2 linked regions of the Coturnix japonica genome follow. The protein of the gene in region 1 interacts with the protein of each later gene in a pairwise test. Links are inferred from orthologs where the notes say so. Each region holds a gene or a part of one and is shown on either strand. Other genes may lie near its edges.

Region 1 (4,140 bases):
TCTTTAGGAAAATCCCATTTGACAGTTACAGGCTCGCTCTCCTCAGTGGGTTCCCAAACCTAAGGGCAACTGCTAAAATGCAGCCTTCCTGCCAGACCTCGTTGAAAGGAAAAGAGGGAGAAGAATAAACCCTTTTATTATTTTCATCTTTAAACGCTCTTTGCTTCAGATCTTTTATGGCACCCAGCAACGTCTTTGCTCAGTAGCTTCTACACAGGGCGTGGGGAGGTGTTTCTGACTGCACCGCTGCATTTGGCTCATGCTTTGTGTCCTTGTTTTTCTCCATTTTTCCTGTGCAATCTGGAGGATTTTTCCTACTGAGAATCTTTTATTTTCCCCCCCATTAGTAATTCTGGCCTCACAATCCTGTCTACCCACCTAAAACACGCCTATTTAGTTAACCAAATGACTTACTACCTCCTGCCCACCTGTCCCCTTTGCTGCATGACCAGAAAGAAATCTTGCTATGTTTGCTTTGGAAAGGGAAGCTTTTAGAGTCACCATTCCCCAAACAGATGCTGCACTTAAAGCAGCAGCTGGGACGTGCTGGTGAGGCTGAGCTCAGTCCTCATTAACTGCATTTGCCTTGGTGTTCTTGGATAGGGTTCAGCCAAGGGCACATCTAGAGGTTCACATGCTGCTCCCCCTCTCTTTCACTGCAGCTTCTCTTTGCAGGGACATTCATTTACTTGTCAGAGAAAGAAGTCTCTGCATTTGGACACAGAGAGGGCGATCATTTTAAATACCTCGCTCTGCATCCAAGCAGTCTGCAGCTCCCCTTCATCTAAAAACCAAATCAGAAATGCCATATGAGAAACCACAAAGTACCCTATCAGCAGAATCATTTGTTTCTGTGAACTGTGGGCACAACATTGCACAGGTACAAGGGTAGGGAGGGGCTCTGGGGTGTGATAGCAGCGGGATACCTTTAAGAGCACAGAGACTTAGGGACGTATTTTTGCACTGTGGCTGGACTCAGTGCACAGCCATGCGAGTCCCCAGAAAAAAAGTCAACTGATAAAGGTCCATGGACAGCATTAGGTAAGGATTTCCCAGCTGCTGTGGTGAAAACTTTGCAGTTCTCAATGTAATCTTTCCTAAAGTCCTTTCTCTCCAAGGACTACTTTCCTGGATGGGTCCTGCTTGCGCAGAGCAGAAGGGGGTACGTGAGAGCATGTGAGCACCAAAGATATGTGGCTCAGCTCTGGCGCCTGGCCCAGCACCACGCTGAGTCAGCTGGGAGGCCGTGCTGGCTGCGTCAGGGCTGTGCCTGCTGCTGATCAGCAGCCAGCACTCTCTCATGTGAAAAAGCCCACTATGCAGTGCAGTACTGGGTAATTTGAGGGAGGAGATGGCTGGGACAGGCTGGGGGGGGGAATGCATTTCAGCCTGCCAGGGCCTGGTATTTCAAAAGGCAGAACTGGAGCATAGAGAGGACGTGAGAACCAGTTTCCTCCTCCACTGCTGTCTATCTTTGTTTCCTTTTATCTTCCCTCAGCAGCCTGAATAGCTGATGACTGCATGTCAGTGCTTTCTGAGGAAGTGTGGACTAACAGGACTGCAGAATCAAACCTCATTTCTTTCTCATTGCCTTTATTCTGGAAGTCTAACTTTTCCCAAGCCAGAGACTGGGTCTCACTACCTCCAAGAGCTTATGGAAGCTATTGCTTCCTCATAAACGGGTGCACAGGGTGTGCATGGACACTGCCTGCCTAGGATTTGGGTACTGGCCTGCAGGACATGATTATTATTCACTGACCTGCTGCAAAAGTTTGGGAAGGCCCGTAGCCCTTTGCTCCAACCACCAGGCAGGTTTTCAGGCCCTTTGAGCTACAGTCTTGCTTTCATTCAGTGCTGCATCATGTCACCTTGGGTGAAATGCTTAGATGCTGCTGGAGTCCAGGTGGGACCAGAAGAGGCCAGACTTCTCTATCAGCAGCCACACAAGGAAGGCTGAGCAGTGAAGCTCCGGCAGTGGGAGCTGGAAGCTGGCTGTGGGCTGCTTTCCCTGTGGCCTCCCCCAACTCCCAAGAGATTAACCAGCAGGGTTTAGCATAGGAATGAAAAGCAGCTGCCTCCTGGCCTGCCTGCAGATAAAGGGCAGCAAAGGAATCCCAGCTGAATATGCTCCTGTTGGGAACAGCAGCAAGCAGGCAAGGTCAGGCACAGAGAACGGAGATCAAGGGCATTTAAAGACATACAAATCCGCTGTTGTTTATTTTTTTCCCTCTCTCAGAAACCAGTCTCTATCTACAGAGCATTCTGATTGCTGAACACTCTGCAACACTCTGGGTGTCTGTAACACAACCTACACATTCACTTTCCTGAGACAACCATTACTTCTGCCACTGAGCATCAACAGTTCTTTCTTTTGACGCACACAGACCATTGCTGGAAGCCTGCAGAGCAATTACAGTTAGAAAACAGCAGAGCTAGACTGAAACTACACAACTCTTCTTACATTCCAGAAGAATAAAAAACCAAACATGTTCAGTAATAACTAGAACCAAAGAAGTGGACATATACATGTCCATATACAACTCCAAAATGTATTCTGCCTCTGCTTCTTCACTGGGAGCCACAGGACCCAGCTGACATCCAGCACACATGCCTGCTTTCCCTCACTCAGCTCTCTGAACTCTGCTGCCATTTTCAACCTGGACTTGTCAGAGCTCCACAAGCACAACCAGCTCAAGGGCCAGCTCTATCTGCTGCTCACAGTGCAGCGGCACTACACACAAGAGCAGGTGAACTCTTTGATAAGTGGGAAAACTCTATACTAATCGAATTATAAGTTGTATGCACTCGTGCTTCTCTGCTTATGCAGTTAGTAGAGACAAAGAAATATAAATACCTACTGAGGTCACAGCTGGGACCCAACTGCATTCACTTCCCTTGCAATCAAGTGTTATTTACAACTCTACTCTTCAGAGAGGAAGTGCTAGTGTGCTAATACACGAGTCCAAGGGCAGTTTGCCTGTGAAAAGCAGAATGTGATGTTACCAAAGACATCTAACATGGAGGAACAAAGCCCAGAATCCCTGCTTCAAAAATAAATCAACTAAAACCAAGTGCCAAACATCATTTGAAGGTGGGACACTTTTAATCCCTTCTGTATCGAGAGGAATCTAAATGCTGCTGAAAGCTACTTAATATCCCCATGTGATCAACATACAAGCAAAAAAGACCTTTTAACTCAGGAGACAAGTGGAATTGTGGGTGGAAATGTCATCTCTGGCTTAGTTTTGCTAGTGTAGTTACACAGAGTGATCTAAGCAGACTGAGATGCTGACATCAGCTCAGAGATTCAGAGCTGGGGGTCTGAAATCACAATGGATGTTAATTGTGGCTGTTCCAAGAAGGGTTCATCCCCTGCCCCTGGGAAACACACTGAGCTGTCACAAGTCATCTGCCTGCTACGCCCTTCCTGGCACTTCTGGAAGCTTTACGGTAACTTTGTGCATCACAGATGGAAAGTCAGAGGAAAACAAGGACACTTTCTGCTTTAACCTGTATCAGCACATACTCACCGACTTCAAAGGGTCTACGCCTGCTTCACACTGCTGTCACTTTTGATTCCTCGCCTCTACCTGTTCTGTGTCTTGAAGGTGTGTCTGCCTGCTCGATCATTTTATCTGGATAGTCCATAAGGGATATCAACAAGAGGAAAACAAGCCTCTAAGAATCTCACTTATTCGCCTTGTAATGCCAAACCCACACAGTTGGAGGGGGTTGATCAGACAGATCCACTGTGCTTCCAAACAGCCACGAAGAGTTTAACACACAAGAAACTCCCAACAATGTGTCAGGTCCTTCAACTTACATGACTGAGATTTATAAATAGGGCATAAATTAAATACCAGGCTAAGCTCCTATTTCCATGCCAAAATCCACTGCCACATCCACACAGCATTATTTCATTACAGGACAATCGGAGCAGAGGTTTCCAATCAGCTTTGTACCCACTCAGAAATACAAACAGGATCCATTTTTCCTGTAGTGTCAAAGTAACCACAGCTCAATAAAATCCCTTAACTCCCAACTCTTGGAGAACTTTATGTACACAGCCCAGACCCACCCAGCCACACACTTTGGGTTCTGTACATCATATGTATCACTAGAGGCTTCCCTTATGTACGT
Region 2 (4,184 bases), on another chromosome or scaffold:
TGAATTAAACCACAGAATTGGTGCAGCCTGGCAGCACTCACACCACACGTCCCCCCCTCCATGTGTGCTCAGCCCACACCCGCACGGCGCTGCCCGGCCCAAGCTACCCGCGGCGCCGGCTCCTGAGCCGCGTTGTCCCCGTGCCCCGCGCTGTCCTGCCCTCCCGAGGGCGGAGAGCGAGGGGGACCCTCCCCCGTGCCCGCTCCCCCTCCCCGGGGCCCGCAGCCCCGCTCGGTCCCGCTCCCCTGGCCGCTCGCTCCGCACCCGCCGCCGTGGGCCCCGGAGCGCTTTCCCGGCTGCACTCGGCGCCCGGAAGGGCGCGGGGCGGCAGCGCACACGGCGGGCGGAGGAGAGGAAGGGACCGGCCGGGACGGGACAGGGGGGGTGCGGGGCCATGAACGGCTCGGCGAACCCGCTGCTGGACAAGGAGGAGCACCCGCTGCAGCTGGGCGAGAGCTTCGAGCGGCGGCCCAAGGCCTCCTTCCATACCATCCGCTGTGAGCACCGCCCTCCCTTCTCCTCCCGCTTAGCCCAGCCGCGTCTTTCCTCCCCGCCCCGCTCCCTCCCGCGGACGAGCCCCCTGCCCTCAGCCCCTTCCCGCCGGGCGGCGCTGGGGCCGTGGGCCGCGCGGTGCCCGCCGCCCTCCCGGGGGTCCCTCCCCTCCATCGCCCCTCGCTCCCTGCGGCTGTGCCTCCCGCCGGCCCTTCCTTCTCCCTTCTCACTGCGCCCGTTTCCCCCGTGAGCATCCCCCTTTCCTCCTCCCCTCCCTCGGGGTCTCAGCGGGCAGTGGGCGAAGGCTCTGAAGTTTTCCGTGGAAGCACGGCTTGCCGCTTGTATTCCTTTATCCTTCTCCTTAATGGCAACGCGGGCCCAGCTCAAGGAGCCGCGGTTTGAATTTAAAGTTTGAATGGATGGAGGTGGTTGCCGTCATGATCCCACGACCCCTCCTCTAGCGATCTAGATGGGAAGTCACTTGATGGGGAAGCGCCGAGAAGTGGCTCAGGCTCACACAGTGTTGCCACACATGTGGTAACTCTGAAGAGTGAGAGAAATGTTGAGGAATGGTCTCTGGCATTAACAGAGTTTTAGAATGACTGGGGCAATCTGCCATTTTTCAAGTCACCAGAGATCATTCCTACTGTTCTTCTGTGGCATTGGATGTGTTTTGTTTCATGTTAAGGAGGTGGTTTGGGAGAGGAGCTCACTGCATTCCTCTGCTGGATTTCTGTGGGCAAGAAATTGCTATTTTGTCTCCTAATAATCCTCAAGGAACTGCTACTTCATCCTTACAACCTACTGCAGGGAACCTGCTTTAGCAGGGGGTTGGGCTTGGTCATCTCCAGAGGTCCCATCCGACCCCTATGATTCTATAAGCAGGCCCAGGGCTTAAAAATGAGGAGTTAATCAGCAAAAGTAAATGAGAATGATCCAGAAGTTGTATTTTGGTTGCTATTTGATTGGGTGGGGAACTGGTACAATTAATGCTAGAGATTTTTGTTATGTGATGCGTAGTCCTGGGTGTGCAGTCTCATGGCTGTGAGTGTGTCATTTGGTGAGGTCAAAGTGAGCTCTGAAGGAACAACTTGGAGCTGTTCCTCGAGATGATCAGTGCTTGAAGCAAAGCTATTTCCCCAAACAGAAGCCTCTGTCTGCTTATATGGTGTGTGGTTCCCCCCTCTGATCATACGTAGTTCACCAGATTGAAGAATGCCATAACATGCGTTTGATGTATTTAGCTGTTTACATATAACACTGGATGCTTCTAGCCAGCTCTGCTGCACCGGCAAATCCCCACTTATAAATCAAAGATTTAAAATAGCCCGACCATCAAAGGAATAAGGATGCTGTCTGATAGTGCACGAATTAAACCCAAGCCGTATCCGGATAGCAATGCAGTGTATTTCTAGAACGTAAAGTGCTTTCATAATCAAGTTCTCCAGGGGTTGCAAAGCCAAAGCACTTCAGGCTACAACCGAAAGAGTATGTTTTGATTTCAGAAGAGGTTTTAATGTGCTGTATTTTCAGTCAGTTACACTCAAGTGAGATCTCTTTTCTGGCAAAAACTTATCTCTTTCCTAATTGTTGATCTTGGGTGATCTGCCTGGGAACTGAGCATTATATCATTCCTGTAATCCTCTTCATGCAAACTGCAGTAAGAGGATTTTGCAGGCTGGATTTGTCTCTGCCTCCTTAAAATACTTTTATTGTTTTCTGGGATGCTTATGAAATCCTGTACTGAAGAACCAGGTTGGGAGACGCATCTATTTGACTTCTGGTGAAAGGATGGGGTTTTACACCTGAAGAGACATACGTGCTCTCCATCTATGGCAAAACTAGTCAAGCATGGGTGTCTAATGAGCTTTCAGAATGAAAGCAATTTGTTGTGTGCTTGCTTGGAATAAGTGTATTTTACTGTGCTGTGTTTTTTCATTTAGCGGCTGTGCCATTGAAGCTCTTGATCCCTCTTTGGCAAAGATGCCAGCTCATCTACAGCTGGTTCATTTTATTTAGCAAGCTTGCACATCAAGTAGGTGGGAAACAATAGCTAGAAATAGATTGTGCAGATGAGAGTGAAAGATGTGATTTGGTCTGGCAGTTAAGGGATGAGGATTAAGTCAAGTGTGCCTGATTCTGCTTGTTGTGCTGTCAAAGTGAAACTCAATTAGACGTTAACGTCCCCTTAATGAGAATTTATTACAAGCTGTTTTCTTTCCCCAGCAAACGTGCTTTTCAAAGTAGAATTAAAATTTGGGTTTTCTAAGGTATTAATGTCTTAACTAATGCAGTAATTAAAAGTCTTGGTTGTGACTGTAACTGCACCTCTACGTATCCAGAGATGCTGGAATTGGATGCCTGGTTGTGAGAAATACTTAGCTGTCTGATCTTATTTCATTCTGTCTAAATCCTCTGTCACAATGTTACGTGTTTTTTATGGCTCAGCAGCATGACAGAATCAGAGGGGGGAAATACTTTGAAGTTAAAATGTTCTTAGTTCAAATAAATATGCTAAACACAAATTCATTAGTGCAGCAGAAATTATTTAAAGCGGGGCTTTGCTTAGAGCTGCAGCAGTGTCTGACCTCAGTTATGCTCTCCATTCATCTACAGCAGCTTCAGCCTTGTGTGGAACCTGGTGAAAGAACATCAGCACCTTCTTTTTTCCCCATAGGTGGGAGCCAAGGTGTCTTCTCAAGGTGTTGCAGAGGCAAGATATCTGTTAGTAGTCAGAAATATCAGTGAGGCTCAGTGAGCTGGTCTCACCCAATTAGCCTTTGATGTAGATGGGAGTCCTCAGGTTTGGAGGTGGCAGGAGCCTGGGTTCTGGGTCTGGGACCTGATACTCCTATGGGATGCTTGGTACAATTTCACACCTGTGTGCAGCATCACACGTCAGGAGGAGCCTGCTTTTGGTCTTTCAGACACAGTCTGGTAATTTACTTCCACTTTAAAAGGTGAATTTTGCATCTATTATCATCAAGTGTCGGGCTGTGAGTATGAACAGGTTGTACTGTTGTACTGTTCCACCCCTGGTGCAAGCTACTGTGTATTTTAGTATTTCCTGTAGCAACAATGAATGTGCATTGCCTTTTTGCAAAGGAGAATTCTAAAGGCTCCAAGTTCTGAAGACTCCCAGAGATATAACCACAATTGTTTTCCTCCTTAGATGATTTTAAGCCGGCATCGATTGATACGTCCTGTGAAGGGGAGATCCAAGTGGGTAAAGGAGATGATGTAACAATCACTTTGCCGCATATTCCGGTAAGAATGCTATCTGTGCTATTGAATGTATTCAAGTTCTTTGCAATGTAATTCCACTCTGTCCTATATATTATTATTTTTTACTTCAGTCTTTTCTAGAAACAGGTGGGCTTAGTGTTTGAGCTGCTAGACTTGCAGCATGTTATGTGAGGAGAGGTCTGTACGATTGAGTCTGTGTTAAAGGTCTTATTTGTAGGGCTCCAGTTGGTTCTTTTTTTCCTTCCTTCTTAGTGTAACATGTATAAAAGGACAACTTCTTTTAGCTGAAGCTCTTTACCTGCTTTCCTTCCATTTTTACTGCTGCAAGGTAAGGGATAGAAGCAAAGAAACGGTGTGTTCAGTCAGGATGTGCTATTCAGAATCTGCAGCTAGGCCTGTAGGCTTGTTTATTTCCAACACACACAGATAGCACAGATGGTTCCCTG

What was found.
Region 2: the proteins of HOMER3 (region 1) and EAF1 interact in binary tests that used the Homo sapiens proteins (3 or more experiments, as listed by UniProt). The two-hybrid records come from large-scale screens. The link is inferred for Coturnix japonica from reciprocal best matches to the Homo sapiens genes HOMER3 and EAF1.

What each region holds. Positions count from the first base shown.
Region 1 is NC_029543.1:2,743,578-2,747,717, reverse strand, and holds the start of HOMER3 (homer protein homolog 3), read right to left. Parts: upstream 2,978-4,140; 5' UTR 2,887-2,977; coding exon 2,855-2,886; intron 1-2,854. UniProt on the Homo sapiens protein: Postsynaptic density scaffolding protein. Binds and cross-links cytoplasmic regions of GRM1, GRM5, ITPR1, DNM3, RYR1, RYR2, SHANK1 and SHANK3.
Region 2 is NC_029517.1:38,120,300-38,124,483, reverse strand, and holds the start of EAF1 (ELL-associated factor 1), read left to right. Parts: upstream 1-1,334; 5' UTR 1,335-2,931; coding exon 2,932-3,205; intron 3,206-3,664; coding exon 3,665-3,759; intron 3,760-4,184. UniProt on the Homo sapiens protein: Acts as a transcriptional transactivator of ELL and ELL2 elongation activities.